Linked DNA regions of Rhinolophus ferrumequinum. The protein of the gene in region 1 interacts with the protein of each later gene in a biochemical or structural test. Links are inferred from orthologs where the notes say so. Each region holds a gene or a part of one and is shown in the gene's direction. Other genes may lie near its edges. The genes, in order: HUS1 and RHNO1.

Evidence for each region.
Region 2: the proteins of HUS1 (region 1) and RHNO1 form a complex in vitro, tested with the Homo sapiens proteins (2 studies listed by BioGRID). The link is inferred for Rhinolophus ferrumequinum from reciprocal best matches to the Homo sapiens genes HUS1 and RHNO1.

Annotation. Positions count from the first base shown.
Region 1 is NC_046303.1:1,211,385-1,226,742, reverse strand, and holds the start of HUS1 (checkpoint protein HUS1), read left to right. Parts: upstream 1-7,912; 5' UTR 7,913-8,158; coding exon 8,159-8,210; intron 8,211-8,688; coding exon 8,689-8,816; intron 8,817-8,899; coding exon 8,900-9,076; intron 9,077-9,410; coding exon 9,411-9,518; intron 9,519-10,359; coding exon 10,360-10,434; intron 10,435-13,246; coding exon 13,247-13,346; intron 13,347-14,471; coding exon 14,472-14,591; intron 14,592-15,358. Other genes in the region: SUN3 (SUN domain-containing protein 3), read left to right, coding at 2,592-2,684, 3,653-3,772. UniProt on the Homo sapiens protein: Component of the 9-1-1 cell-cycle checkpoint response complex that plays a major role in DNA repair. The 9-1-1 complex is recruited to DNA lesion upon damage by the RAD17-replication factor C (RFC) clamp loader complex.
Region 2 is NC_046293.1:87,883,013-87,898,315, reverse strand, and holds the start of RHNO1 (RAD9, HUS1, RAD1-interacting nuclear orphan protein 1), read left to right. Parts: upstream 1-9,608; 5' UTR 9,609-9,685; intron 9,686-12,259; coding exon of another isoform or gene 12,260-12,435; intron 12,436-12,601; coding exon of another isoform or gene 12,602-12,671; intron 12,672-13,305; coding exon of another isoform or gene 13,306-13,350; intron 13,351-14,018; coding exon of another isoform or gene 14,019-14,147; intron 14,148-15,017; coding exon of another isoform or gene 15,018-15,209; intron 15,210-15,303. Other genes in the region: TEX52 (testis-expressed protein 52), read right to left, coding at 2,116-2,410, 5,348-5,901, 6,921-6,989; FOXM1 (forkhead box protein M1), read right to left, coding at 8,569-9,594, 12,260-12,435, 12,602-12,671, 13,306-13,350, 14,019-14,147, 15,018-15,209. UniProt on the Homo sapiens protein: Involved in microhomology-mediated end-joining (MMEJ) DNA repair by promoting recruitment of polymerase theta (POLQ) to DNA damage sites during mitosis.

The DNA of each region.
Region 1 (15,358 bases):
GAAGTGTAAACATCTTCCCACTTATGTCAGATAACTTATAAACTTCTTTTTTCATGTTTCTTTTGGGACAGCCTCTGGATTGTCTGCCCGTTTGCTCCAATCTGACTTGTTGCCAGTTATGTACAGCTGCTCTCAGGGGTTTCATTTCCACACCCCAAAGGTTCAACTGATTACTGATTGTTTAATCTGTTATTTAAAAAATCTCCTCTCTTATTTTCCTTTTCTGTCCTATCTTCTGAAAGATATTATGAATTTCTTTTAACTTCTATGTTGGATTTTTCATTTCTGCTGTCACGATTCTTCTAAGACTTTTTCCTATAAATAGTCTTTTTTTTTAAATATTTTATTGGGGAAGGGGAACAGGACTTTATTGGGGTTACAGTGTGTACTTCCAGGACTTTTCCCAAGTCAAGTTATTGTCCTTTCAATCTTAGTTGTGGAGGGTGACGTTCAGCTCCAGGTCCAGTTGCCGTTGTTAGTTGCAGCGGGCGCTGCCCACCATCCCTTGGGGAAGTCAAGGAATCGAACCGGCAGCCTAGTGGTTGAGAACCCACTGGCCCATGTGGGAATCGAACCAGCAGTCTTTGGAGTTAGGAGCACGGAGCTACAACCACCTGAGCCACCGGGCCGGCCCAATAGTCTTTTAAAGTCTAAATTTCTTCTTCTGTGGATGCAATGTTTTCTCTTAAGTCTCCAGAGATATTATAGTTTTGTTTCGTTTTTTTCTGCTCCCTCCCCTGTTGACGGGGTCTCTGCCCTTCTCGTTATGTGCTTTTCTCACATGTCTGGTGATGTTTGTGTGTCATGTTTAAGAGCTAAACAGTAAAAAGCCAGTGAAAGCTTTGCACACCTGGTGGGGTGGGTGGACCGAGGTCTTCACAGGCAGTGGTCTAGTTGGGCCATTTTTTCTGGAGACTCCAGAGTGTGGGATTGGGCAGGTTGACCCTGGGAGGAATTCTACAAGCTGTGCCCAGGTTTCAGCTTGGCGACCACATGCTGGGGCTGCTGAGAGAAGAGGAGCATGGTATGCCCTCAGCACACAGGCTATGCCCTCACCTCTGACATGTGCAGGTCTCCTGAGCCCAGCTGTCCCAGAACTGGGAGGATGAAGGCAGTTAGTGCTGGGCCAGGCCGGGATGATTACCGGTCAGGGGCTGGGGGCTAACTGCTTCAGCTCCCTGTCTGCTGGGGCCCCTACAGCCCCATGTCCCGCCTGTGGAGCTTTCTGGGACTTGCAGTGTACATCCGTGTCAGCGTGTTTCCACAGCCAGGGAAGTCTGTGTTTTCTCCAGGGCACTACCCCACTGGCCCTTTGGCCATGTCCAGGCTTTGTGTCTGGTGTCTGCTCCCATGCCTTCCTTGTAGGTTTAGTCTTGCCTTCAGTCTCCTGGTATCCTGTCTGAGGGAGGGCTCAGAGTTAAACGTGGCGGCTTGCCTGTGTTTCATCAAATGCCTCTGAAGGCCGTGACTCTGGGCTGCAGAACAGAAAGATGACCACCATCCTTTGGTGCAAGCCTGCTGCCACCCACGATAGTTGTCTGCTGAGCCCGACAGTTGAGTTGGGCTGAATCTGAGCAGGTCATACCCCACCTCAGACAGGTGCACACAGTTGCTCATTACCGAGGAATTATGGGTGAATCCTTCAGTAATCAAAACTACTTCTCATTGTTTTTCTCTTATATTAGCAAATTTATGAACCAAGTAAAGTTAAAACAGGGTAATAAAGAAGGTGGAGATAAAATGAGCACTCCTCCTTACCCTACTAAAGGAACCACATGAGGCTTGGGTTTTTTATATCTGTAATCGCGGGTGCGTTGTTTAATCATGATGTATTCTTTTAATAAAACTATGTTACAAATAGTTTAAATATCAATATGTTCATTATAAAACAATTTAATTAATGAACTCTTTATTTTGTTGTGCTACTATGATTTAAGGAACCTAAAGATAAACTTTAGATAGTCACAAATAAGTTAATTCCCACCAGTGTATTTTCCTCTCAAAAACCTTGGTTTTGAAAGGTAGAGAAGGAAGGTAAAATAAATAAATAAATAAATGAAACTACATACAAATATCAATATTTTCTTTCAGTCAGCAAATACTTTTTGGATAGAGCTATTTGTATGATCAGTCTGGAAATTGGATTAAGTTTATCTTATTTTGGAAAACACTGGGTCAACATAGGGACTTTTGTTTTAGTTTATTCAAAGTCTTCTGACTGCAGATACAGTTAGTAGGCCTGAGGTTTGTTCTATCTATCTATCTATCTCCATCCACCCACCCACCCCGCCACCCTCCGAGCACCCTTCATCTACATTTCAGGTATTTATCTGTCTATGTATCTATCTAACTACCTTCTTCCTACCTGTCTAGTGAGCCCTGTGATCAGCCTGCCTCTTGCCTTGCAAACTGCAAAGTTCAACACCTTTGGGGTATATAGGGCAGCACTGGCACCTGGGCCAGCACTGCGCCCGTGGCGGACCCCAAAGACGTCTGGAGAACTGTTGCTCCTTGCATACACATCTGCCTCCATTTATGTTAACCGAGCATCCGTTCCTGATGATCTACATGTCTGTTACTTTTTTTTATAGGGCAGCTTGAAACAATGTGGAGGAGAAGAGGTTTTCCTAGGTCAGTTTTTATATAACAAAACAGGAACCACGGTTCAAACCTTTGAGCTCCAGGTAATGAGCCCTGGCTAGGGGATGCGGGCTCCGCTCCTGGGAGGGGTGTGTTGGGGTTGCGTGCCGGAAGTGGTGTGTGAGAATAACCGTGACAGGAGCATAAGCTAAACGAGGCTTTTCTGAGCTTCAGTTCTGAGCTCCCAGTGCTTATGTGCATTTTAATGCAAAAGACAGGCAAATACCGAAGTGGCTTCTAAGCCTAATTCTTCCTCGTTTGCTATCACTTTTTAAAAACTGTATTCACCTTCTCAGTCCTTCTCTTACCAGTCTGGTTCCCTTGCACTGTTAGGTTAGACAGTCACTGTCTCAACTTTCTTATGAGGGCGGTGGTGCAGTATGAGATGGTTAGAGGCAGAGAGGAAGTCAGGGGAAGAGAAAACAAATACTTAACACCAGACGATACAGGCAAAACTTCTCTCCTTAACTCAAAGGGGAAAAAGCACCAACTGTTAGCATACAAGGCCCCCGAAAGTCATTAAGGTGCATGAAATATATCTTCACTGTCTCTCATTAGCCACAGGAAGTAATGAAGAAATACAGAAGGCGTCTCATATCATGTAAAAGCAAGTGTTTGATGACACTACTTGGCCCATGGTGAGAAAATCTAGGCTGAAAACAATGTGTTAGAACTGAATGTGCCTGAGGAGTTTCCTATGTGACTGTACGGCCGTGTCACTCACTCCCTCATGGGACGGCCATGTAGGAGCACTGTGGGGGCATCTGAGAGGAAGTGAGAGCACCTGGTGTCCAGGCTGCCATACGCTCTTCCTTCCCCGGAACTTGTCTTCTTAGGAGCTCTTTACTTACGGTGGCTCATTTTCTCGTCCACTAGAGTGATGTTTGGATACCCTTGTGTTAGGAAGGGAGGAAGGAAAGAGTTTGAATTTCCCATTACGTCAGCCTTCCTCGGGATTCTTTGAGATGGATTTCTTGATAAGGCATTAATTTTATTTTTTCTTTATTTTCAGCATGAAGTTTCTGAATCCTTATTATGTGTGAAACTTAAAATCCTCAGCAACTGGGGACACACGAAGTACACTTGTTTATATAGATTCAGGGTGCACGGCACCCCGGGAGACCACACCTAGAAGAGCTGGTGCAGAAGGTGACGGCCAGGGGGTTAGGACAGCCAAGTGTCCCTGCCCCTTCGCTTCACTACACTCAGAGGGGTGGAAATCGGCAGTGGGAGGGAAACCTCAAAGTGGATGAATTTTACTAGTAAAAGTGTAAAAGTGATTCAGTCTCCTTCTGGTAGCTTTGCTTTGGGGATGAATGTCGCTGGAGCCCTGACAAGTAAATCTGTCTCGAAGGTGGTATTACTCAACAGTCTTTCTCATAGGAACACCTCTGCCTTCCTTAATTTGTTCATCCACACCAGGCGTGGATGGCCTGTTACCACTGTTACTTAACACATATCTGGACACACTGGTCAATTTGGTTAGATAAGTGAAAGAAATCAGAGTTTAAAAGGAGTGAGGATGTCTGACCATGACTATTTGCAGATGATCTGATGAATTCCTTCAAATGCAATAAAGTCAATCAAAAAATACACCACACACAGGAAAAACTGCAGTAAGTTAGTGGAAAGAAAATTACCACATATAAATCAACATTATGTATAAATACAAACAACCAGTTGGAGGATATAATTTACAAAAGCCACAACAAAGATGAAAACGAATCAGATAAACGAAACAATTAAACTACCTGTTTGAAAACACTCCAAACAGCAGTGGATGATAAGAAGACTTCAATGATGGAAAGACACACCTTTCCTGTGGATACGAAAACTCAGCTATCAAGATGTCAGTGTTCACTAAATTAATCTATAAATTCACTTTAATCTCAATTAACACCCAGAAAAAAGGTATTTCTGAGACAATTATGGGAAATTAAGGATATTTCAGTGCCTGTGTGATAATAGTATTTCGATGTTGTTACTAAAAAAGAATTATTCTTGTTTAGATTTATATATTTAAATATTTACAGATGAAATGATATATCTGAGATATGTTTCAAAATAATAAGAGGAGGAAATGTATGGGAGGATCCATAGAGAAGACTGGCCATGCAATGATCATCGAAGTTGTGTGCTGGTCCACGGGGCTTCATGTCTACTATTCTGCATTCATTTACATATGTTTGATATTTTCAATTTTAGAAAGTTTTAAAAAGATTAAAACATATATAAGTAACTAGAAGTGTTGTGTTTTAAGCCAAATTGATTCTAAAGTTCATTTGGAAATATAAACTTAGTAGGAAGCCAGGAAACCTCTGGATGAAAAAAAAAAGACAAAGAACTGTATGATGTTGATTAAAACAATAATTAAAATTGTGTGGTGCTAGAACATTGATAAACCAATGGAACAGACAAAACAAGTCTGTTTCTGATATATCAGAAATAGATTTATATCTATGTAGGAATTTAGAATACGATAACGGTGGCATCTTAAAAGCAGACAGGAAAAAGGAATGGTTTGGGACAATTACTCTGTCATTAAGAAAAGAAAATTGCACCTATTATTTCTCACTTTGCAACATGACGAATTTCCAATATGGTGATTATTTATAGGTAGGTAATGAAACCATAAAAATAAACCAAGAAAACTTGGGCTAAGTCTTGTATGGCATTGGATAGAGGAAGACCTTTTCTAAACAAGACTCACACTTACATAAAATTGAAAAAACCTCTACATGGCCAACAAAACCTTAAACAAAACAGAAAAATATATTTGTCATTGATATCATGAGGACCAATCTTTTCCATATGTAAAGAGTCTCGAGAAAGCAATACTATCAATAGCTGCATAGAAAAACGGCTGGACAGCACAAAGAGATTTTTCTTAGGAACATATGAAAAGGTATTCGAGCTTATTTATTTTAAGAAAAATGTCAAAAGTTACACGGTAGGTACCATGTTTCACCAATGAAATTAAGAAAAGTTTGATAACATTTCATTGGTAAGGCTTTGAGGAAATAGACTCTCTCACACATTGATGGTGAAAATGCAAACAGAGAAAACCATTGTGGAGGGAACCTGGCAATGTCTCTCAGAATTAGGAAGGCACATACCTTTTGACTCAAGGAGTCACGTGCAACATACATATATAACACGTTAATCAGCAATGTTCACCAGGAGGAGAGAGTAAATAAAATGGGAATGGGGCAGAAGAGACACCCACATAGGTGGAAGCAAAATGGTCTACTGTATAATGTTTTGTTTTCAAATCACGTGAAAATATTACCTATTCCTTACCTATACCATTTTTTAATTAAAAAATGTTTAGCATAAAACATGGTCTCTCGTTTTCTTACGTAATGGTTGTAGAGGAAAAACTCACTTGTGTTTCTCCTTTACTCTCACACAACAAACACACTCACAACAATTCTGACACCAGATTGTGTGGGGTTTTTGTGTTTGTTTTTTCTTTCTCACACCAGGCAATTCAGTGGTACCAGCCGGGCATCCTACAATTCTGACACAACCGGAGTGAGCTCAAGAGCGTCGGGCTCAGTCCCACGAGACCGCTCTCTATTTCAGATGCCAAATAGTAGATCCCCAGGTTACCCACAACTTCTGTCCAACTTGGCTTTCCATGATTACCCTGCCATAGATTCAATTATTTGCTAGAACAGCTCACAGAATTCAGGAAAACATTTAAATTTACCATTTTGCTATGTAACAAAGGGTATGACAAAGGATAGAGATGAGCAGCCAGGTGAAGAGATACATACGGCCAGGTCCAGGCAGGCCAATGCAGAGGCTCTTCCTTCCCCGTGAAGAGGGGGCCCCCTACCCTCCTGGCACACAAACGTGTTCACCAACCCAGAAGCTTCTGAACCCCCTACTTTTGGGATCTTTATGGAGGCTTCATCACGGTCGGTTCTTAACCCCACTTCCAGGCCCTCTCCCCTCACTGTGCACTCACAAGGCCGAGAGGCAGATTCTCACCCGGGGCGTGTGGGGCGCGCGCGCAGCAAGGCCAACATTTCAGTTCTATCCGCCATCTTTAAAATGGCGAATAGCACTCACCTATGGGTGCTTGTTACCAAGGTGACACCAATCAGTGTCAAGTGCTATAAAAAGGGTAGTGATTGACCCCACCCTATGGATGGGTACCATTCAACAGTGCCTTGGAAGTGAAACACGGTGGGCGGCCAAAAACGTGGGTTTCCCTCCCAGGTGGTGGGTACGTCCTTTCTCAGAGCCCCAGGGCCCAGCATCCAGTGCCCAGTGCCTGACACTTCTCATGGGCGCCACAAATGTTAATTTAAAGGATATTTATGACATTTATTGAAGTAGTTTTCCTTTAACGTCTAAAACACGAGAAGAGTCTTTGAAGAGCCGCTTAAGCAAAACCCATCCCTTCATGGAGCGCATTTCTCAAAAGACATTCATTCACTCGTGCCGCACAGTGTGCTGTCCGTCATTTCACAGTTTTCTCACGTAAAAGAAAAAGAAGACAAATCCAACCTGAACCTCTGAGCTATGCCAGTGTCTTCCCAGTGAGCAACTTTTTCAACATTAAGTGCTCACAACAGGACTGCAAATGGGCCCCCGAGGGATGGGGAGGACGAACAAGCACGGGGCACACGCTGGGCAGACGCTTCGGGCCGCCCGGGAAGGCGCACAGTCCTTACCTGGGTGGAGCGCGCAGCGCCTGCGGCGGTGAGGACGGGCTCCCCGGCTTCCCACTGCACACCCCGCCTGCCGTCGGCTGTGCTTCACTGCCACCGTGCTGCCACCTGGGGGACGGGATGAGGGCACTTCCTTGCACAATAAGCAAACATAATGAACTCCGAAACACCAAGCTGGATACAGTTTTTGTTCCTTTTTTTTTTTTAATCGTGTAACATCATTACATCATTTATGCTTTAAGGACTTTCACAGGATCTGGTGAAGTTCATCAGGAGACAAAGTTGCAGTTACCACTTAACGTCAATGTTCTCTAAACATGATCCCGCTTTTACCACAATTTTAAAACCGTGATCCAACGTGGTGCTACGGGCCCCGGCGAGCGGGAGCCAGCACTAGCGTCTGGGCCTGGAAGGGGTTCGAAAGTGACCTACATCCGAGCGGCAGATATCTAAGCGATCATTTTAATTGCCTTTGATAAATAAGCGATTGGTTTTAGTTCTGACGTTTTAACAGAATTGGCAACAGGTGTCACAACGTTCTTCCAAAACGTGAGTCCCCGGAACCACTCCTCCTACCTGGGGGCGGGGAGGACTGGCGCGTCGCCGAAAGCAGCCGCCTGCTCGGCCGGGGGCGTTACCGAACCCCGCCTCCCCGCGTACGTGACCCACAGCGTCACACGGGGCCCGCCTCCCCGCCGGGGGGCGTGACGCGGCTCACGGAGGCCGGGCCGAGCCGGGCGGAACCTCTGGGCGCGCGGCGGCGTTTCCGGAGGGACGCCGAGGGCGACACCGGGGTCCGCGGGTGACGGGTCCCCCGCGCGGGCCCGCGTTCCGGCATGAAGTTTCGGGCCAAAATCGTGGACGCGGCCTGTCTGAACCACTTCACGCGTGAGCGGGGCCGCGCCCGCCCGGGCGGTGTGGGGAGGAGCCCAGAGGGGAGGGCGCGCCGGAAGGAGGCTGCGCGCGGCGGGCCTCGGGCGAGGAGGGCGCGGGCAGCGCGCGGGACGCGCGTCTGTGGGCGGGGCAGCGGGTGCCCGGGTTGTTTCTAAAACCCGCGTGCCGGCGCCTGGCGTTCCCTCGTGGGCCGGCGGCGGGCCGCGGGAGGCAGCCTTACGTGGCGCAGACCCCGTGGCCCAGTGTGCTGCCGGCGTGGATGCGCCCTGCGAGCGCCGGCGCCTCGTTGCAGCCTGACGTGCGCCGCGCGAGTGGCGGGGTGTGGGGAGGCTGCCGGACTTCTCGGTGCTAAGCTGCTTTCCGGTGGGGTCCCACGACGAACGGCCGTGTGTCCGCCTGGAGGTGGCGCCGTGTTGAGCTCGGGTTCGTGGTGTGCTTGCCAGGAATTCCTTCCCTTCACCCCCTGCTACAGGAGTCAGCAACATGATAGCCAAGCTGGCCAAAACCTGCACTCTGCGCATCAGCCCGCGTCACCTGAACTTCATCCTCTCCGACAAGGTGGCCAGTGGAGGGGTGAGCATGTGGTGTGAGCTGGAACAGGTGAGCAGAGGCTCCTGCGAGGCGTCACACGCTGCCCGGTGCCGTCGGAGAGGGCACAGGTGTCCCTCCTTGTCTTCCCTTAGGAGAACTTCTTCAACGAATTTCAAATGGAAGGTGTGTCAGCAGAAAACAATGCGATTTATTTAGAGCTGACATCAGAGAATCTGTCTCGAGCCTTGAAAACTGCCCAGAATGCCAGAGCCTTGAAAATCAAGCTGACTAATAAACACTTTCCCTGCCTCACCGTCTCCATAGAGCTGGTGAGTAGGAGGGGAGCGATTCTGAAACTTCCCAGAAGGAGCTGCACTGGCTGGCGGTTGAACGTTAACTGGTTTTCTGGCACCTGAGTGTTTTCCCCTGGACTCAGTTTCTCCTCCTACTTAATGACATTGCTTGTTCAGCACACGTCCCAGCTCCTAACCCAGAGCAGACCACGCACACCCTGAGTATCTGTTGAACAGGTTTTGATGAATGGAACATTCCACTTAGATGTGGTATGTTAGCTTTTTTATTTTTGTCCCTTAGTTCTTTTTTTGTTTTGGTTTTTTTTAATATTGACGTTATAAAAATACTGTGTGATTCTTCTCTTGGCAGTTATCTGTGTCGAGCAGTAGTCGCATTGTAACCCACGATATCCCCATAAAGGTCATTCCTAGGAAACTGTGGAAGGATTTACAGGAACCGACAGTCCCAGACTGTGATGTGAGTGACGCTCATTTTTAAAGGATACTCCACGAAAAAAAATGGAGTATTTGCCTTTTGCTGTTTACATAAAGATCTTAAAACAGGGCAGCGTGTAGCAGTAAAGCCACACGCCACAGGTGGGAGACAATGTCTTGCTCAGCAGTGGCGCTTAAATAAAACTAGACTACACGGAGGGAGCACTGTGGGGGACTGGTTTCTGTCGGGAGTGATGGCTTAGGCGCCTGTTTGGGTCTCAGAACGTGATTTTACCTCATCCTGTAAGGAGTGATGCCTGGGTGTGCGTAAGAGCCAAGGGCAGAGGCTACCCCAGTCCTGGCAGGAATCCCTGGGCAGCGGGAAATAAAGATGAGGCCCACAAGTCTGTTGCTTCTTGCATACGATTTATTGGAGAAGAGACCGTGGAAAAGGAATTTTACTGGAGGATATCCGCACCACCTGGGAAAAGCCAGCATTGTATCAAGCACTGTTGGTGACCTGGTCTGAGCGCTGGTGCAGGGACTTCCTCATGGTCCTTTTCCGGGGTAAGAAGGCCTGTCTGAGGGTGTGTCCCTCAGAGTCTTATTCCCCTTGGGTAACATAAGGCCTCTGGCCGAAGGGCTGCAGTCTGTGGAGCCAGAGTGCCCACAGGTGTGTGGTCGCCAAGGTAACCACAGAGGCAGGCGTGAGTTAGGGAAATAAAATTGTTTTTGTTTCATATTTTAAAAGGACAGTGTAAAACTCCAGATTCCAGAGCTGCTAAGCATGCATGCGTGGCAAACGTAGGCAGTAGGTTGCACCTGTCAGCACTTGACTGTACTCACATCTTTAATTCTCCTGAGTTTTCTCATTGCTTTCGTAGGTTAGTATTTATTTGCCAGTCCTGAAGACTATGAAGAGCGTGGTGGAAAGAATGAAAAACATCAGCAACCACCTTGTAAGTTACAACTTCCTCGGAAAGGAGCCCGGAGTATTGGGTTCAGGCGGCATGCCTGCCACAGGTGTGGGGGCCCTGTGGGTACCCTGAGGCCCGGTGCGGCGGGCGCCCTCACCGGCCTGTTCTTGAGAGCTGCGGTTTCACGGAGTCCAGGAAACCTGTGCTGGTGCTTTCCTCTCTCTCACGGGGGAGGCTTTTATATTTGCCCTGGTCCATCACACTTGTATTTATAGCCTATTAACAACATAGCCAACAGTTCTGGCTTCCTTCACTTGTGTTTTGGACAAAACCTCCCAGCTTGTCTGTTGTGTGTATGTGTTTTATGAATCACCGACACTGGCAGTGATGGAAGTGTCCTGTCTACTTAGTGGCGGTCTCAGCTCGGAGCCCCCCAGCACACGCTGTCGCCCCCTCATCAGCTGTTTGCCAAGTACATGGATGTATTTCCTTTGCTGTTTGCTTATGTGGCGGTTGGTCCACTACAGTGTCACAAAATGCTACAGCATGTGACAGTGATGGGGAAGGGTGTGGATGGTCCCCAGTCACCCCTGGGATTCTCTGAATTCTTCCTTTGCTTGACCCCAAACATTTGATTATGTCCCGAATCTTCTAAAAACCTCCATCAGCCTGACGAAGTGTCCACTTTTGATCTTCATCTGCCCGGCCTCGTCCCCTGTCATGTGGCCACACCATCCCTGCAAAACCTCCCTCGACTCTTGTCCTTCCCCACACTGCCGGCTCTTTCCAGGCTCTGTCTCGGCCATTTCACACTCGCTGTGTTTTCTCCCACGTCCCCCCACGTTAGCCTCTCGCCATTCGCTGTAACTCTGTGCTCAGTGCTCTATGCTAAGTGACCTGCCAGCATCGGAAAGGGAAACGCTATCTCAACCATCTTTGTGTCCCGGCCACCACTGTGGGACTGTCACCCAGCGGGCGGTTAATAAGTGTTGTCGCATGGACCTGGAATGAAATGTACCTTCAAGCGATCTTTGGAATTGCAAAGGTTTTCTGAAGCCTAGGAAATGTTTGTGGGCCGTTCATACCTGTGATGGTGGTCACATAAGAGTGATTGTGTTTCTTGGCTTAATCTCCTAGATGTCATTTGAACTTGCAGTCAGCTTCCGCTGCTGCAGTGTGAGCTGTGCTGCGCTTGGGGTGCTCCCGTCAGTGCACCATTGTTGACCCAGATGTCAGGTGGGAAGCTTCCACTGCCAGGGCGGGATGCCCTGGGGACCTCAGAGAGCTTCGAAGAGGCCCAGGAGAGAAAAGGCCAGGCCGGTCAATTCATCTGCGGACCCCATTGTTTTGTTCTTTCTGTCCAAGGGCAATGAGTTGGCCCAGTAGCCTGGGTAGAGAAAATCATCAGAAGAAGTGTTTTTCTCCGGAGTATTTAAAAACAAACAAAAGTGTTGTGGCGTGCCTGCTGCCATCTGCCCTCCTACATGGAAAGTTGTCACGTGTGGGAAGTAGAACCAAGGGCCCGAGGACATCTACCCGGGTGACAGGTTCTGTGTCTTAAGGTGACAGGCAGGGGACATAAGGCCGCTGAGTGCGACTCAGTACATGAAAAACACCTCCTGTCCCGAGGGGAGCTGAAGCGGCATGCTGAGGCTCCACCCTCTCTCCCTTCCTTTATGGGAGCCGTGGCCTCGTGGAGGGGCTGTGTGAGTGGGGTGGGAGCAGCAGAAACAAGCGCGGTGTGCAGGGTGTGAGGCCCTTGTGCGCACATCTTCACCCTGACGTGCTGTGGGCAGGATTCTGGCTCCGCCTCCTGTGGGAGTGGCTGGGACTTCCTCGTGGGGCGGGGGCGTGGCTAGGTCCCGGCAGTTCCCTGCTTTCTCTGAAGTCCGGGTGTGCGGCCTCTCCACTGGGAGGTGTCTGGTGAGCATGATCCTCCTGCCGGCCTCGGGGCTCCCCACTCACCTGCTGTCCAGATCCCCTCTACCTCCGTTTCTGTTCGGTAATTTGTATTTTCTGACTTTCTGCCTCGTCTTCTCTTCCTGCGCTGTCTGTGTGCCCACGTTCTCCTGGTTTCTTGCCTGTTTACTTTCCATTTCCGATATTTGCCCTTATATTTCCAGTTACTTCCTGAGTCCTGGCAGCTCTCTTTGTACATCTGCAAGCGGTCTGGGCACGACATGTCGGGGCGTCCCTGATTCTGACCTGTGCTCTCCTTTCGTAGCTTCACTGTCCTCAGTTTCTTCCAGCTCTTCCTGGAACAAAAGTCCCTCCCTCTCTGCGTCTGCTTCGCGCAGCACCCCCAGGCCCCTGAGTGCTGTTTGGCCAGTGTTATTCCTCTTTCCAGAATGTCTTGGTTTGGGGTCTGACCACAATCCCCTTAGGACACTCATTCCTTTCAGGTGGGGGGACCGGGTGGGTTTGTGGTTCGGGTGGGTTTGTGGCTTAAGCACTGTGGGTTCTCTGTTCCGTCATGTCAAAGTGTAGGGCACGCGGCCTTCCCTGTGGCCAGCTCTCCTGGGCTTCCTGGCCCCTCCCCCTCGTCGTCGTCCTCCGCAGAACCCAGGGTGCCCACCCTGTGCAGGCCTCTCTGATTCCCGTCCCCTGGCCGGGCCCCCAGCACTGCCTGTTTTGGGTCTCTGCCGAGTTCTCCAGGCTCCTCTCCTGCGGGGGTTCTCAGGCCTCGTCTTCTCTGTAGTTGATGCCGTGTGGGTCTTGGTGCCATCAGAAGTGTTCTGGGGGTCGGTAGGGCTACCTTGTCACCTGGTTTGGTGGAAGCCAATGCCTGTGGTGATTTTTGGGGGTTGGAGGTCATTTCCTTTTCTTTTTTAAGACTGAAATGCTCCATTTGCAGATAATTGAAGCAAACCGAAATGGGGACCTGAACTTGAAAATAGAATCTGAGCTAGTGTGTGTTACAACTCATTTTAAAGATCTGGGCAACCCTCCATTTGGTGAGTTTCCTGGTGGGTTCTGTTTGCTCCCGATACATTGTTTCAGATGACTGGGGGTCTCTTACCTGAAGAGGTTGTTTCAGTGCCTGTGACTCAGGCCTGGGGAGGGGACATGACTGAGGTTAGTCACCTGCCACTGGCCTGTGGAGTGGGAAGGTGAGCCCCGGGGCATAAGGAGTGTGCCTGCCGCTGGGAGGCGGAAGGATGGGCGCAGGGTCTGCCAACTGGGGCTGGCTGAGCTGGGAGATCCCAAGCTCTGCCCGCTCTTAAACTGCTGTTTCTGCTACTAGAGATTGTAGTTTGTCACTTGGAATGGAGTCAGGTAGAGAGCATTTCTTACTGTCACCTATTTTGCCTCCTTAATGCTTATGAAATTAGATTAGCCAATCGGAACTCCTCACGTGATCAGATGTTTTGTCTCCTACAAGGCGATAAGGGACCACGAGTCAGTTCAGGAAGTAGTGAAGGGGAGAGACTGAGCGCCTGGGGTCATGGGCGGGGTGGTCGGAGGGGCGGTCTGAGGGGCGCCCGCTGACAAGTAGACCCCGGTGTCGTCACGCATGTGTCCCAGACACACGGGGCTCGTCACTCTGAGAATTAGTGTCTTGCTCCTGGTGTGCTTGTCACAGGCGCACTTAGCATTGCTGAGAGGGGCGTCCCCTCCCCGTGGGACAAGGCGACATCCGTGTAAGCAAGGCTTTGATTACAGCTGTGCCAGAGGACTTGGTTACCGTCACTCATTTTGTTTGTTTTAATGAATGGCAAAGAGGGCCTTCCCTTTCCCAGAGGTGAGAGGACGTTTCTTTCGCCTGGGAATGAGAGGCCTCCCATTAGCTGTGTGTGTCTTAGCTGTTTGATATACGTACGCACACGAGGCGACACCGTGATCTGGCCTAACGGGGACAGTGGGCCATATTTTGGGTCCCCGTAAGAGAAGCTACCCTGTAAATTAGCACAGTGTTCCAGAGTCAGGACTTGGTATGTTCTCGCAGACCGAAGGATTACATCCACGTTTTGCAGTATTTCTGCAGCACGCTGATCAGGGTAACGCAGCTCGTTTACGTTAAGTGCCACTTCGCTTCTCTGGGTTCCCTGTCACGTCTGAAGGTGTCCCTGTGGTTTTAGCCTCTGAAAACGCCTCTCAAGACAGAAACCCAGCGCGCATGGCAGAAGTGCACGTGGATATCAGGAAGTTCCTGCAGTTTCTTTCTGGACAGCAAGTGAACCCCACAAAGGCCATCTGCAGTAAGTGCGTTTTCTTGTTTGTCACACTTCCAACACATTCATCTCCTCAGCTCCCCAGGTTGTACGTGGTCTCGCAAGTGTGTGACAGCTCGGTCATGTGGCCTCTGGTTCTCCAGGCCCTCAGGTGTTTGGGTTTCCCGGGTTCTGAGGTACGCAGAGGCACCGCAGGAGACAGCTGCGGGGTCGGGCTCCTGCAGGCCTGGCGGGGTCCACGCCTCTCACCGGGCATCATACGTGGTCTGTGCCTGGAGAGAGGCTGCAGGAGGACGCGTACTAACCGCCTGTCGTCGGCGCTGACCCAGCCTGACAGACGCGACGCCCTGACGCGCTGGGCTTGACGTTCCCATCGCGATGCCCTCGCTTCCTTCCTGTGTCTAAACCTCACCTGTCCCGTACCTGGCGCCTGCGTCCTCTCGCCTGCCCCCTTGATTCCGTCTCCCGCAGCCACACACCTGCCTCGGCGTCCTTGCCCATCGGCCACACCTGAGGAGGGCTCACTCCCAGGGTCTCCCAAGGCTGGCTTGCTCCTGGCCACAGAGATCACAGGAAACTGTCCTCTTAGTGACAGCGGCCAGGCTGGCACTCAGCCACCTGTGAGCACAGCTGAGAAGGAGGAGGGCCCAGAATGTACCTGATAACTGTCAGATCGTCAGCACTCTGTAGAGAAGGAATGGAAAATTCCAGGGGGCTGTGTCTAGGACCAGCCTGTAGAATGAGAGGCTGGAAGAGGAGGAGAGACCACAGGAGGGCATAGCCTGGATGTCACA
Region 2 (15,303 bases), on another chromosome or scaffold:
CCCCTGGGCCTCTACTGTGAAGGTGACAAAACCCTGGCATCATGTAGCCTGAGAAGGAGGATAACAACACAGGCCCAGGAGCCCTAGCTCCAAGCCCTGTGCCTCGTGTTCTACAGCCAGGAGGCAGGGACTGCCTGGCTTGGTGGCCGGGAGAAGTCACTTCTCCCTGGGCCTTCGTTTACCATGTACACACTGAGGTTGTTTTCTAATGGCCAGCCCCGCTCTGACATGTTAGGATCCTAGGTAAAGGGACGTCCTCCTTCCTACCACTGTTCCTAATCCAGAGTGGAAAGAACAGGCACGTTCCCAGAGCCCCGGCACTTCCTGGGGTCCTCAGGAAATTCTCCTTCACCCCCCGCCGGCTCTCGAGCTCCCCACCCACCCACACATGTACCATGGAGAGAGGCAGCAAAGAGGGCTGTTGAATAGAATTATAGATTTGGAACTATAAGGAAATTTGGAAACTCTACATACCCTATTTATTATAATTATTTTTAACTACAAATAGGAAATTCACACCAAATTTACCATTTTAAAGTATATAATTCAGTGGCATTCTGTTCATTCATGATGTTGTACAACCACCAGTTCTAGTTCCAAAATATTTTCATCACCCCAAAAGAAAACCCTGATACCATCAAGCAGTCAGTCCCCATTCTCCCCTCCCTCAGCATCTGGCAACTACTGGTTTACCTTCTGTGTCTATGGATTTGCCTATTCTAGACATTTCATATAAATGGAGTCATACAATATGTGGCCTTTTCTGGATTCTGTCACTCAGCATGATGTTTTCAAGGTTCATCCACATCGTAGCATGGAGCAGTACTTCATTCCTTTCTGTGGATGGAATAAATGGATTCCTTCCATCCATTTATTACTTTTATACTAAGAATAATGGTACATAGCTTCATTTATGGAGGGTCTACAATGTGCCAGACACTTCGCAGGTCCTTCGCTTGTATGATTTTATTTATACCCCAGTGGCTCCCACTGTGTAGAGAGAAAACTGAAAGCCTGAGGAAACGATGACCTTCCCAAAGGTCGCATAGCTGGTTAGTGGTTAACCAGGGCTAGAACCCTGGTGCTGTTTGGATTCCGAGGAGCCTGCAGGGCTCGAGAAAAGTGGAGACAAAAAGGCAGTGGGCAGAAGGCCAGGCAAAGCCCAGCTGGGGTCACAAACTTGGGGTATGATGGGGACAAGAGGCTGCCTCTCCAGTCACCTTCCTCCTGCCACCGCCACTGGGCCTCTTGCAGGCCCTCCCCCACCCAATCCCCACCCCAGGTGGGGTCAGCACCTTTCTGACCAGTGTGCTTTGCCTGCCTCCACTTTAGGCCACTTGTCCCTGGCACCCCATCGTAAAAGCTGAGGCATCTGGGGTCTCCGGCAGCACAGGCCCAAGGCCCGAAGGTCAAGTGCTGGGGGGACCACTCTGACCTTGATTGTAAATCTCTACTTTGTTCTGCTCCTGTCTCTTCTGGAGGCCTGGTCAGCCTTTCTCAGACCTGACTCTTCCATCCTCCAGCACCAGCCTTGGCCTGGCCTTTGCTCCCCCAAACCCTGTGTGGGACCTGCAGCCCAGCAGAGTTGCTTCCAGCCTTTGTCCAGACATCAAATGGTCCAGGGAGGGGTGGCATCAAGGTTATTTTTGCCTAAGAAGCTTTCTGTACCCTGATCAATCCCAGTCTTGTTTCAATGGGCTATGGGAGTAGAGGTAACTTCTTACCACATTTCTTACAGCGCCTCTTCCCCCACTCTAACACACACACACACACACACACACACACACACACACACACACATGTTCTTCCTCCCCACTCCCCGTTCTGGCCCTAGGAACTGGATCCCCCTTGTGCTCTCTGCTCTACCCGCCCCGCAGTCTTCCCACCTGCTATGAAAGAGTCCTCCAAGGAGGACAGAGAACAATTTAGGGTTTCGGTAGATTCGTGAGGAGCCCGGGCTACAGAGGTGGCTTGAAGTTGGGGGGATGGCGGACAGGCTGTGTTCTGCAGAAGCCAGAGTCCTTCAGCCACCCCAAAGGCTTCTTGCTAACGGCACATTGGTTGAGAATGGGGTTCTGTCTGCCCACCATGGTCCCCACCCATCTGGAAGCTTTTCTAGGTGTGTCCAGCTCTTCTCTTTCTCTTCCTCGCTACGTCTTGGCTGGGTTGTGCTTTGGGGAGATGGTGGAGGGGCAAGAGCACCCGGTCCTCTATCAGGGTTTGGTAGCTTCTCACGAGGTCCTGGTCTAGCGGCGCACTGGGGAGCAAAGCCAACTTGAGCGCATTCTCCCGATAATGAGGCAGAGGATTCGGGCATGGCCAGCCCCTGGCAGAATCATCGGGAAGTGGGTTGGGCAGGAGCTGGAGGCCGAGGGGTTCAAACCTCCCACCAGCTGAGATGTGTCGGTACCTGTTGGGGGGAGGAGGTGTGGAGAGAACAGAGGTCAAAGGAGAGATCAGGCATGGTGGAAGGGGCTGAGATGGGAAAGTGTCAGGCTGCTGCCTCCCACAGGCTAGTGAGAGATAGCGCGTGTGGGATCCCTTCGTCTCTTTTCCTAATTGCATATGACTCTGTTCCAAATGGCCTGCACCCTGTGTGTGCGTGTTTGGCATTAGGCTCGAATACTTGTGTTTATCTGGTCAATCTTCCAGCCTTTTGACATATTTATAGGTCACATCATTATCCAGATTCTAACTATCCCTCCAGGAGCGCGAACTCAGCGCAAGTCTCCTTCTCATCACTGGTGAATGTGACGCCATCCAAGAGCCCTTCCCGCTCTGACCTGCTGCCTCCCGACACCTGGTTTACTGGCTTCGTCTTCTACAGGCCTGTCATATTAAGTTCAACAGTGGGAAGTGGACATTTTAAAAGCCATATTTGAATAGTGGCAAATTTCCTGTTGCTCAACGTGCTTTGCCCCTGGTTCAACAGGTATCCCCGTTTGCTGTCTTTGGTTTATATCAGAGCTTCTCAGGCCGGGCTGCACGAAAGAACCACCCTCAGCAGCTTTTTAAAAACACTAGTGCCCAGGCCACCCCTCCCCCCACCCCAGGTCAGGTAAGTTAGAATCTCCCAGGTGGGGCTCAAACCTCAGCATGCTCCTCCAGAAGCCCAGGTGACTCCAATGTACCGCCAGACCTGAGAACGGCTGGGTTTATATGTAAAAGTTCTATTTCCCAGCCAGATCACGAGCATCTGGAGGCTTAGACCTTGTCTGAAGTTCTCTGGGTCTCTCATGCTCAGAATGTGCTCTCTCATGGATCTAGAGCCATTTTAACAATTAACGATAACCTCTGGCAGCGCGGCTCAAGAGGAATGACAGAGCTGGGTGGGCCTTTGCTCTCACCACTCTTTCTTGTTCCCACCTGCTGAACTTGTACACAGCCTTGAAGGGCCAGCTCAACTACCTCCTCCTCTGTGAATAGCAAAACCCTGTCTGAGACTCAGGCCTTCATTCCTGGCTCCAGGGGCTAGGCCTACAGCAGCAATAAGCAAAACCAGGCTCCTTCTCTCATGGAGACGCTGTACTAATGATGACACGATTTACAGAGCCCCTTCTGTATACCAGGTCCCGTCCCTAGGACTCTTCTAAAAACCCTGCATGGACTGGCTCCAATACATACTTGAGGAAAGTGAGACTCGAAGAGTTTGCGAAACTTCAGGTTGTATAGCGGGTTTGTGATGGAGCTAGGTAGAGTGCCACCTGGACCTGCTTGCCCCCAGAGGCCACGCTGCTCCTGACGTCACACATCATTACTGTACGCCAGGCACTGTGCTGAGCTCCTTTTATGACTAATTGTATCTTCCTATACTGCCTTTACTGACCATTCTGTTCTACTAGACGTGTCTGTGAACTTGTCTGATTCCCCAATCAGACAAGAGTGGAGTGGAGCAGAGTGGGTAGGAATGCAGCTCGGGAGCTGAGCTCCCTGGGTTCAAATCCTAGCCCTGCCGTTCACAGGCTGTGTGAACGTGAACAAGATAGTCGAGCTCTCTGTGCTTCAGATGCCCCATCTGCAACATGGGGTTGATCATAATAGTTTCTATTCCGAGGGAATGGGAGGATTAAATAATATAGTTAAAGTGATTAGAACAACATCTGGCACTCTCATTTCACTAAGTTTTTTTGAGGAGTGTTCTAAGTCTTCACCTTTGTGTGCCTAGTGTTGGCCCATATTAGCCATCAATAATCTTCATGCAAAAATAAATAAATATAAATAAATAAATAAATAAATATACAAAAATAAAAAATAAAAAAATAGTCTTCATTGTAGGGACAGTAGAGGGAAGTGAAGGGCCTGAAAAATCTTCTCTCAAAATTACCAAGTATTGGCATTGCTTTTTTAAGATTACAGATCTCCACGCCTCCCCCTCCAACCTCTCACTGCTTCTGTTAATGCCCTTGGGATTGGAATTTGAGACATTCCATTCCTTATTCCTCTCTTCCTTTCCGGCCACTCGTACTGGACAGGACCCAGTATGGCAATATCTGTGAGTTCCCACGATGGGCAAGGTGGGGAGAGCTGTGGGGTTCTCAAATAGCAACTTTCACATTCCTCTCTGCTCACACCAGGCAGCCCCTCCTTTCTGCCTTTCCGAAGGCTTCCTACCCTTCCAGCCTTCATCCAATTCCTCATGAAGCCTTCCTGGGAGGATGTGCCAGCCCACAGCAACCCCTTCTTCCCTCCCTCATCTGAATTTCTGTAATAATGTCTATTTTTTGTTTAGAGCTTTCGTATATTCATTAACCAACTTTATCTTCACCACTGAGGTAGGCATAGTATTTACCATGCCTATTTTGTTGATAATGGAATTATTAACAATCAACGATGGAACTGAGTCTGGAAAAGCTAAGCAATTTGCCAAAGGAACACAGTCTAGACTTTAATTCTAGCCTCCAACTCCAGCTTTCAGGTTTTTCCATTAATAATGGACATCATTACAAGACCCATCCTCTGTCTCACACTTTGGGCACTTAGCACGTGTGCGCTTGTATTGATAGATTTCTTTCCTCGCATGTATATAAGTAGGTTCCTGCCTTTCGTAAGCTCCTTGAGGGCGGGGACTGCATGGCATTTCTCGGTCTCCCCAGAGCCTAGCAGGTGTTAAGTACATGGTCGCATCCCCATAATTTTAGTTAAAAAATTGAACCCCTCTCCTGGCTGTCCTTCCCTTGCCTCCATCCCTTCCCTCCAGCTACATTCAGAACAGAGTTTAGTTTTTGATGACCAGAGGTGGGAAAGTTAGAGTACCAAGTGAGATATCAGCAACAGGAAGCAGAGAGAGGGAGGGGTCACCTGAATGTGGGTTGGCGGGTGAGCTCCCTGAGGAAGGAGTGCCTCTTACTTCTTGAAGTTCTTTGGGGGCAGGATGTTGCCATTGGCATCAAGTGGAGGTGCCCTTGCTTCACTCCTCAGTTTGAGTTTCTCCATCTCTCTTAGTTCCTTCGCTGTCCTGAACATCACCTGGCTCTTCCTATTCGCATCCAAGAAGATAGGAGGATTACTGCAGATGAAGGTCAGAAAGCTGTTTTGACCCATCCAGGAGGGAGGGGGAATGGGGGGCTCCGTTGGGGGGCGGCAGTGAGCCCTGGAGTTGGTCAGCCTGCGCCAGACATTACTGTCATAGGGCCTGTCGGGCCTGGCGGGGAAGGTAGCCGGCAAGCGCCCCACGTCGAGCCACGTGTGGAAGCCCCACGTGTGCTCCGTTGTATCCTTCCACGGGTGGATTAGTCGGTGGTGTACCTTGGACTTCATGTCTGTGCAGGGTGGCAGCTTCAGGGCCAGCTGGTGGTAGGCTTGCCGGGTGAAGCCAGGCCATTCCCAGGGCTCATCCGGGAGGAAGAACTCACGCTGAGGCCACGTGTGGGAGGCCAGTAGGGCCTCACCGGCCTCGACCATCTAGGGAGAGACAAAGGGAGCTTGCCGGCACTCTGCCTCTTCTTCCAGGAGCAGCCGCAGAGGAAAGAAGCTGCCAGTCTCCTCCAGACACAGGGTTCCCATCAGGACACTGGCATGGAACCATGTCTGCTCTGTATTATTCTCCCCCTACCTGCAGGAACTTCATGGACTTCTCACCTGTTCTCTTTCCATCTCTCCGGTTTGGGCTTTGATTTCCTACCCTCTTTCCTCAACTTGAATTTCCCCTCTTCGCTCCTTCCTTTCACCCATCCTCTCCATTGTGCTGCCCAGGAAGTGCCCACACTCCCGCCCAGGAATGGGTGCTCCTAACAGGACACATCAGGCCTGAGGAAATCCTGAGGAAAAACATGCCTTACCAAGCCAAGTGTAGAAGGGAAGTCTTTCTACAGAGCTTGGGGGCTGGGTGCTTTTCTATCCTAGACTCCTCCTGTGACTCATTTCTCTGTCATTGCTGTGTTGCCCTCACTTCTCATTAAAATACCAGCAAGTATAGAAAGCATTTAAAATGTTGGTCCCTCCCCTTTCTGGGCCCCACCCCTATGAAATAAACGGTAGCAAATATGCCAAATACTCATCCACACCTTGTTTAACCCTCACAGCCCTATGAGCAGGTGCTGTCATGGTCCCCTTCTCAAAGATGCAAAGAGCAAGATACAATGAGGGTAAATAACTCATCCAAAGTGCCAGGGGAGTGAGTGGCAGAGCTGGGACCTAGGCCGTCTGTCTGTCTGCACTACCCATCTTCTTCAAAGATGCCTCTTCCTCCAGTACACTCCTAGGACTTTTCTAATTCCACAAGTCCCCTGTTTCGTGGGCCAGGTCCCTGTCACTTCTGTGACCACCCCAGATGTAATAACCAGGCATCTCCTCTCCTCTGTTCTGAGCTCCATGTTCACAGTATTATGGGACTAAGAGAAGACAGCAGAGGTCATGGGCCTAGAGATCTGCTGCCCTGGAGAAAGCCTGGCCCACCCCAGGGATGGGGCCTGGGCCCCTACCTGCCGGAAAGGTTCTCTGACATGGGATGTATTCCGCCCTCTGGGTGATCTTCGTGGGTGACAGGCCATTTTCTTCTGAGCCTGATTGCTGGGAGGGGCAGCTCTGTAGGGAAGATCTTACAGGCAGCATTGTTTGCTGCTGGGGTTGCTATGGTGATGCTTCCTGAGTGGTGACACAGGGAGGAGGGCTCATTACTCCCTGGGGACCTGGCTGCTTCAGGTGACACGGGCAAGAGATGGGACTCTGAAGTTCTGACTGCAAAAGATGGTAACGGGAGCTGCTTCTGGAGACTGGCCTGGGAAGGAAAGCAGGGCAGGCTGGCTTCCAGGCCTTGGGTAGGGGGTGGAGGTGGTCATGAGGCACCTGAAGGGGGCCCTTCCTTCCTTCCCTAACGGTCCGAGGTCTGCCCCTGTGTAGGCCTTTCCCTTCCTGGGGACTGGCTGAGCAGGACCAGCACTGGGAAAGCTGCCAGCTCCCGTTCGAAAGGCTGTGTGTGCCTGCGCAGGGTGTGACACAGGTGATCCACGCTCAGGTCCTTTGCACTCTCCTTCAGGTGCTTCTCCACGTTGGCTTCAGGCCTTGCCTCCTCCATTCCCACCGTCTTTATCACCACCCACTTTCTTTTCCAACCCCTCCTTATGCCGTGGGGGCCAGACAGACACACCACAGAGAGCAGCATTTGCAGCCTGGGTTTTATTGAGTAGTGGTTACAGTAGTGTTCTCGAGCTGGCTCCCAGGCACGTGGTCAGCTGGGGCCGAGGGTAGCTCTTTGCAAAGCTGCAGTGCAAGCTAAGGAAGCCAGGCAGGTCAGGGCCCTTTCCGCCTTCTCACACCTTGGGCCACGTTCTCATCAATGCTAGTCTCCCTGGCATGATTAGGGACATTATCAGAGAAACATCTCATGGGTGCACATCTGGGCACCCACTCTTTGCTTTAGATGCATCCACCCCCTACCCCCAATTCAACTTGACCTATTACAAGAGACCTCATAACAAGGACTTCTTGTGGGAAAGCTGACTTGGAAACATGAGGTGGTGGGAGGGGCAATAAGAGGGACCCTGGCAAGCAGATCCACCTGTCTGGGGGCCTACAGTAAAGAACCCTTGAGGCAGGTACCTCGGGCCTGGAAGAAACCGTGCACCGCAGGTCCCCCCCTTCTCTAGGAACTAAAAGCAAGGAACAGAAGCCAACTGACACCGCTGTCATCCTACCCACCTGGCAGTCTCTAGATAATGATCTAAGGAAATAAGCTTACATTTATAATTAGAGGATAATTTTGGAGAATATACACTATTTACAAGGGCCCCCCTGCAAGGAACAGGGAAGGTAAGGGACTGCTGGGCACAGAACACACAGTTTGAGGAATTCCTAATCTTGTTTCCCCTTTGTCTTTGCTACGCCCACCGTCCAGCTGTAGCAGGGATAGGGAGGAATCAGGTCCTCGCGGGAAGCACAGGGCAGCAGAAACCAGGCACCAGGGCCTTGCTGCTTGCAGAGGGCCCTGTGGCAGCTATGGCGTGACGTCTGCCTTGGCATAACCGGGCAAGGTGGGGCTCGAGGAGCGGACAGGCCCTGCCTGCTGTCCTTACACAGAGGCCTTGCACGGCCCAGGCCCAGCCCCACAAGTGCCCGGGAGTGGACAGATCTCTACCGCAGCTCAGGGATGAGCTGAGCCCAGCTGGCGCTGTCAGGGCCCAACAGGTCCTCCTCTAGGCCAGGGAAGCTGATGTCCAGCAGGATCTTGCTGAGGCTGTCATTCATTGTGTCCAGAACCAGACCTTCTGTGAGGGAACGGTTGGCTGAAAGGCTGGCAACCTGTGGCTCAGGGGAGCCTGGCTTGGGGACCTCCATATCTGAGGGGGAACAGCTCCTAAAGGGGTCAGAGGGGAGGTCAAAAGGCTCGGAATTGAGGAGCTCTTGAGGTGAATCAAAAAGGGGGATATTTTTCAGTGGGGTGGTACTGAGATCTGTCAGCCCCAGGGAGTCATGCAAGGGACCAAAGGGACCCTGGGGGGTTCGTACTGGGCTGAAATCTAGCCCCCCGATTTTGGCTGGGGGTGTGAGCCTCCAGGATTCAGGGGTCAAGGGGAGGACAGATTTGCTTGGGGTGGAGGAGATGGGCAACGTCTCCTTAATGGGTGTCTTAAAAGGTCCTTCCTCCCCCTGGGAGTAGCCAAGCTGGGAGACAGGCGCAGAGGACTCTGAGGGGAGAGCGAGCTCTGGGGCTCGGCGCGAAGTCCCGGGGCCCTCTGAGAAGACCAGCTCGGGCTCATCCACACAGGGAGGCTGGAGGTGCTGTTTCCTTCGAGACCGGCTCCTTTCCCTCCGCTCCCTTCGTTTAATCACGAGCATTTCCGAGACACACCGGGCTGGGGACTTGAGCCCACTGTAGGACTTCTTGGGCCTTGGAGTGGGAGAGTGGGACGAGTCCTCCCAGGACTGAGACAGCTCCTCTTTGACAGACGGGCATGGCGAGGGCCACTCTTCCAGGGGTGGGCTCTCGACCTTGATGGGCCGCCCTAAGTGTGGCATTTCCTCCCCAGGCTGGATGTCTTCCTCCTTGATGGACTGAACTGGAAGCAGAGGGCACAGCCCTTCTCCAAGCAGGAGTTTCTCCTCTTTCACTGGTCCTGCAGTGGGCAGAGGGGCTACCCCCTCATCAGCCAGCAGCACCTGAAAGGCAAGCAGGGATAAGGTGGAAAGGGGCTGTCGAAACCTCGAGACTCAACCCAGTCACCAGGCGGGACACAAGATCATGACTAAAGTAAGTGACATGCTGCTACTGATCCTCTTTTTGTCTTTTTAAAATCTTAAAAAGTATAAAATACAAGAATATATGATGGGCCGGCCTGGTGGCTCAGGTGGTTAGAGCTCCGTGCTCCTAACTCCGAAGGCTGCCGGTTCGATTCCCACATGGGCCAGTGGGCTCTCAGCCACAAGGTTGCCGGTTCAACTCCTCGAGTCCAGCAAGGGATGGTGGGCAGCGCCCCCTGCAACTAAGATTGAACACGGCACCTTGAGCTGGGCTGCCACTGAGCTCAGTTGGTTAGAGCGCGGGCTCTCAACCACAAGGGTGCTGACATAATCATTATCTATCTGAGATAAAATAAAATTAGATATCTATTTTATACCATCTACAAAGACAACAGAAAAATTAAAACCATACAAATCCTGAAAGAGAACCTAGGAGACTACATGTACAATCTGAGGGTAGGGGTGACCCTTCTTAACCAAGACTGGAAACCCAGAAGCTGTAAACGAGAGGAAATACATAGTTGACCATATAAAAATTTAATATCTTATTGTGGCAAGAGATACCATAAACAAAGTTCAGAAACAAACAGTAGAAGTAAAAAAAATCTTCAACATAAAAGACAAGGTTAATATTTTAACAACAAAGAACTCCCACAATTAACGAAACCCTGTAGAAAAATGGGCAAAGTCCATAAATAAACAATTCACAGTGAACACTCCCAAGTGACGAAATATAATGAGGAGGGGCTCCCATTTCCTGCTAAGCAAATAGTTCATGGAGACATCATTTATGCACATTAGACAGGCAAATATTAAAAAGATTAATAACACCAATTGCTGGCAAAGAAAGACACCGGTCTTGTCATATCCTGCTGGTGGAAATGTGAATTATCACAGATTTTTTTGGAAAAGCAATCTAGCAATATTAGGTAAAATTTAGAATACCTCTTCACTGAGCAATCTCATATCTGCGACTCTATCCCAGAGACATGAAAGCATTAGTAAGAAAGATACTTGCAAAGATATTTATTGCAATGTTGTTCATAAGGCAAAAGAACTAGAAACAAAATGTGCCCATAAAAGTGGAATGGCTGGAAAAATTATGGCATAGCCACACCATGGAATATTATGTGGCCATTAAAAGACAATGAATTAGGGCGGCCGGATGGCTCAGTTGGTTAGAGCACGAGCTCTCAGCAGCAGGGTTGCCGGTTCGATTCCTGCATGGGATGGTGGGCTGCGCCCCCTGCAACGAGGATTGAAGACAGCGACTGGGCTTGGGGCTCGGCTGCGCCCTCCACAACTAGATGGAAAGAACGGCGACTTGGCTTGGGGCTGAAGAGCCCTGGAGAGGCACACAGTTCCCCGATATTCCCCAATAAAAGAAGAAAAGGGGGAAAAAATTGAAAAAAAAAATGAATTAGAGCTATGCCAAGTGGTTTGGAAGAATTTCCATGAAGCAGAGTGTGTAATATGATCCCATTTTCAATGTTCTGTGTTGTGTGTGTATATATAGAATGACTATGGCTATATATGTCTGTTATACTAAGAGCATGGATAAAGTATGGAAGAAAGCATTCTAAATTGTCAACACGGGTTAGCTTGGAGAGCGAGGGTGGTGCGGGTGAAGGGGAAATGGCGGGGAGACAAAAAGGAGGAGGAAAAAGACTGCATTAAAACAAAAACCATACACATGCTACCATCACATTAACACACATATGTAAAATTACATATAGTGATATGTATAATTTTATATATATTTTAAAAGTATCTTTTAAATAAAACAAAAGCAAACCCAAGTCTCTCTAAACTCCAGAGCCCATGCTATGTCCATCTCATGAGGGGGCAGGAGCCCTTTTCCCTACTTTGCTCCAGGTCAGCTCCCGCTCTCAAAACCTTCTCGAGAGGGTGAAGTTCAGACTTGGTAGTCCATCGCAGTATGGCTTAATCTCCTCACTTTCCCTCAAACTAGACCAGGGATGCTCCATTGAGGAGTGATTCCGCCCCCAGGAGACCTGTGGCCACGTCTGGGGCATTCTGATTGTCACACAGGTCGGGGTGGGAGTGCTCCTGGTCTCTCGTGGGAGGAGACAAGGGATGTCATTAAACATCCTCCCGTGCACAGGGCAGCCGCCCTTCACCCCCAGCAAACATTTATCCAGCTCTAAATGTCAACAGTGCCGAGGCTGAGAAACGCGGAGCCAGACTGACCCAGGCCCTCCACCGTCACTGGGCACAAGCCGGCATCTCCTGCCTCCATGCTCTCTCCACACCTGGGTGCTTACCTAAATCTACTCCTTTCTGAGACCTACTTCCCTTGCAAACTCTTCCTTAACCCTCCCAGCCCGTCTGTCATCATCACCTTGTCTGAATTCTTATAAACTCATCAGGTATTTATGGGCCTTCTGGTACCATTACATTGTAATCCAAATTCCTTTTTAGCCTTTATAATTAAGTTTTCCTTTGTATGTGTGCCTTGTCTGCCCAACTAGACGTATAAGCTTCTCAAGGAACATTCAGCAGAGTACGTTGCAGGTGTAGGTCCAACACTTTTACTCCTCCGAGGAAATCAGAAGCCACTCACCTTAGGGGCAATGCGGACTCGCTTGCTATGGCGGGCAAGCTCTGAGCTCATGAGGGAAGCTGCCAGGGGCAGTGGCACCTTCACCGAGGGCTGTAGCACCAGCGGCTGGTTCACCGGGAACTGGATGGGCACCAGGTACGAACTGACGCGGGGCAGCAGCGGCTTCATCTTCCGCCCTGGGAGGAAATAGGGGCAGTGAGGGGCAGAGGTCCAGGGCACACCCCTTCTCATCCCCTCTGGGATCAGATCCCTCTGAGCTGGGCACAGCATCCGGAGTCCGATCCCTTCCGGCCGTGCTCCCAGAGCAAGGCTCAGGCCGGAAGTCCACTCTCCCATACTAACGTGCGCCCAGGGGGAGGTCGGCTCGGATGGTCACGTTCCGGCGGAGCTCAGGATTGGGCCGCTTCTGCTGCTGCGTGTGGCAGACAGGGAGAGAAAGAAACCTGAGTTAATCAGGCGGGGAGACGGTGGGGGCACCCACTGGCTGCTCTGGCACCGTGCACTGAGCTAACCGGCAGCCCAGAAATGGAAGCTGCTCTGGGAGGTTGCAGGCGAGCACTGCCACCAAAGCCTAGATAGTGGCAAAGGTGGACAGCACACAGACGCACGGTGGCAGATGGTCCCAGCACCTCATCCATGTGTCCTCACCACCCCAGGGGATGCTAAAGCATGGAGCTTTCCTTTCCTGTGGCAAAGGAAAGCCAGAGGAAACACTGCCACCTGCCAGGCCCACCATGCATTGTGGTTGCTGTGCCACACGCACCACGCCCGTGCCATGTCCTCCTGCCACGCACGCTCTGCTCAGTGTGCCTTCGTGATGTGAGGGGCAGGAGCAGTGGGCACAAGCCCTCCTTCTGGGGAGACGAGGTGGTAGTCACACAGTGCCTCACTCCCAGAAGCTCGGGGTGCCCTGAGTGCAGGGCTGGCAGTCACCCAGCCACAGGCTCCCTTCCCCTGCTTAGTGTCTTGTCCCTGTCCACTAAAGCCATGCTGAGCAGTGAAAGGAAAACAAGGCCAAGCCCCGAGCCAGAGGGAAAGAATCTTACTGATTCCAAGTGCTCGGGCGATTGTGGAGACCCTGGGTCCAGTGGCTGGTGGCGGTCAGGCATTGTGGGAGAGAAATGAGATGAAGTTACCACCAGCACGGTCAACCAGGCCGACCACATTGGGAAAAACACCTATTTCTGACTGGCGCCGAGGGCCACCCTGGACAACTGTCCCTCCCAGGAGAATGGTGACAGCTAGGAGAGTATGGGCACTCTGAAATCCCAACACAATTGCTTCTGAATGCTAGCTCGGTTTCTGGTCTCCAGCCTAAAGTGCTTTTTTAAAACAAGTTTTCTCAGACTTTGTCTGTAAGAATCACCTGAGGTGCTTGTTAAAAATACATATTTCTGGGCCCATCCCAGACCCACTGAATCAGAAGCCCCCAGACAGGAGCCCGGGAAGCTGTATTTTAATAAGTATCCCAGGCAGTTCTTCACATCCACACAGCAGTTAGGGAAACACTGCCTCGCGATGTCCTCTATTTGGATCAGAGCAATCCTCTCCATGGCCTGGTTTAGCACCAAAGTGTGTTATTTGATATTTGTCAACTGTACTTAATCCTGTGAGTTACATGCAAATCACCTATGGGGCTGGCTGGTGTCTAACTCTGCGCTGATCAGTTAAGCGCATCACAAGTCAACTTGTTTCCTTTTTGAGATGGATATGACCACCTCCAACTCTGGCCCCACTCAGACGAAGCCAGGACACTCACCTTAAACACCTGGTCCAAAGTCAGGTAGCGATTGGCACTGGGGTGAATGGTCCAAAAGGAGACCTTGCCATTGGCAGATGTCTCTCGAACAAACATGTCATGCAGAGAAAGGTTGTGTCGAATGGAATTCTGAAAGAAGAGAAAGACAACCGATGAGGAGGTGCTTTAGCTTCAGAAACATCACCTTTGCTGTTTCCTGTAGGGAAATCAGCCTCAGGCCTCACTCACTGTACCCAGCACAGGCTTAGTGGAGTGTCCACCTCGCTCCCTGACCCTCACGCCACAGTCACCCACCTCAGCCATAAACCCGTCTATCCAGGGATTAAGGCTGAGGACATTCCTTAGGTTGGTGTTAGGGAAACACCAACTGAGAAAGAGGAGTGAGACTGTGAAGCAATAGTCAATAGCAAGATAGGCCAGTAACAACATTAAGAAACTAGGAAATGTAGTTGAGGTGAGAGGGTGAAGTTAAAAGTTCTACTGTGGGAAGAACCAAACAAAAAACCTTTGGCTTGGAGTTGAGCATCTGTCAGGGGACCTGAACTGTGGCGCTGACATTGTTGTGTGAGTTGCAATGACTTCCAGGCATCTGTGTCCCGTGAACAAAATCAAGAGAGAATCCCTGCTTTCTAGAGATAATATGTGACATCAGAGGAGGTAAATCACGAGGCTCACAGACAGCATTTTTTAAAAAGGTCTTTTCATAAGGCCTTAGTGACTCCAGCTGCTGTTCAGTGCAGCAAAAGTGAACTTAGTGCTACACTGAAAAGTCCCCATAAACCTTAGGTAGTGACACACGTGGTTGCCTAGCTCTTATCAATGGTTTTGCCTGGATTCAGCAGGATCAAGTCACAATCCAAAAGATATAATTGTTTATAGTTCCAGCATCATTTGCACTTAACTCTCTCTCAGGACACCAGACACAAACTGCTGCACATCTGTGTAGACACACTGTCAGGCCAGAGTGGCCTTGACTTTGGTTGTTATGGGACACAGTACCTTCCAGCCTGGCTTGGCCATGTGCTTAAAATAAGGGAAGTGGTCCTCGATCCAAGTGTAGATGTCTTTCAAGGTCATGCGCTTCCTCTCGGTGCTGTTGATGGCGAATTGTATCATGGCCATGTAAGAGTACGGGGGCCGCTCAGACACAGAGTCCTGCCAGGATGGCGATGCTCCCGGGGGCTCCTCAACCTGGGGTTTGTAAGAAGCCAGAGGGAGAGAGAAAAGGGAACGACATGGAAGCATTCACAAGACCTCCTCCACCCCCACTCGAAGGACATTCCCT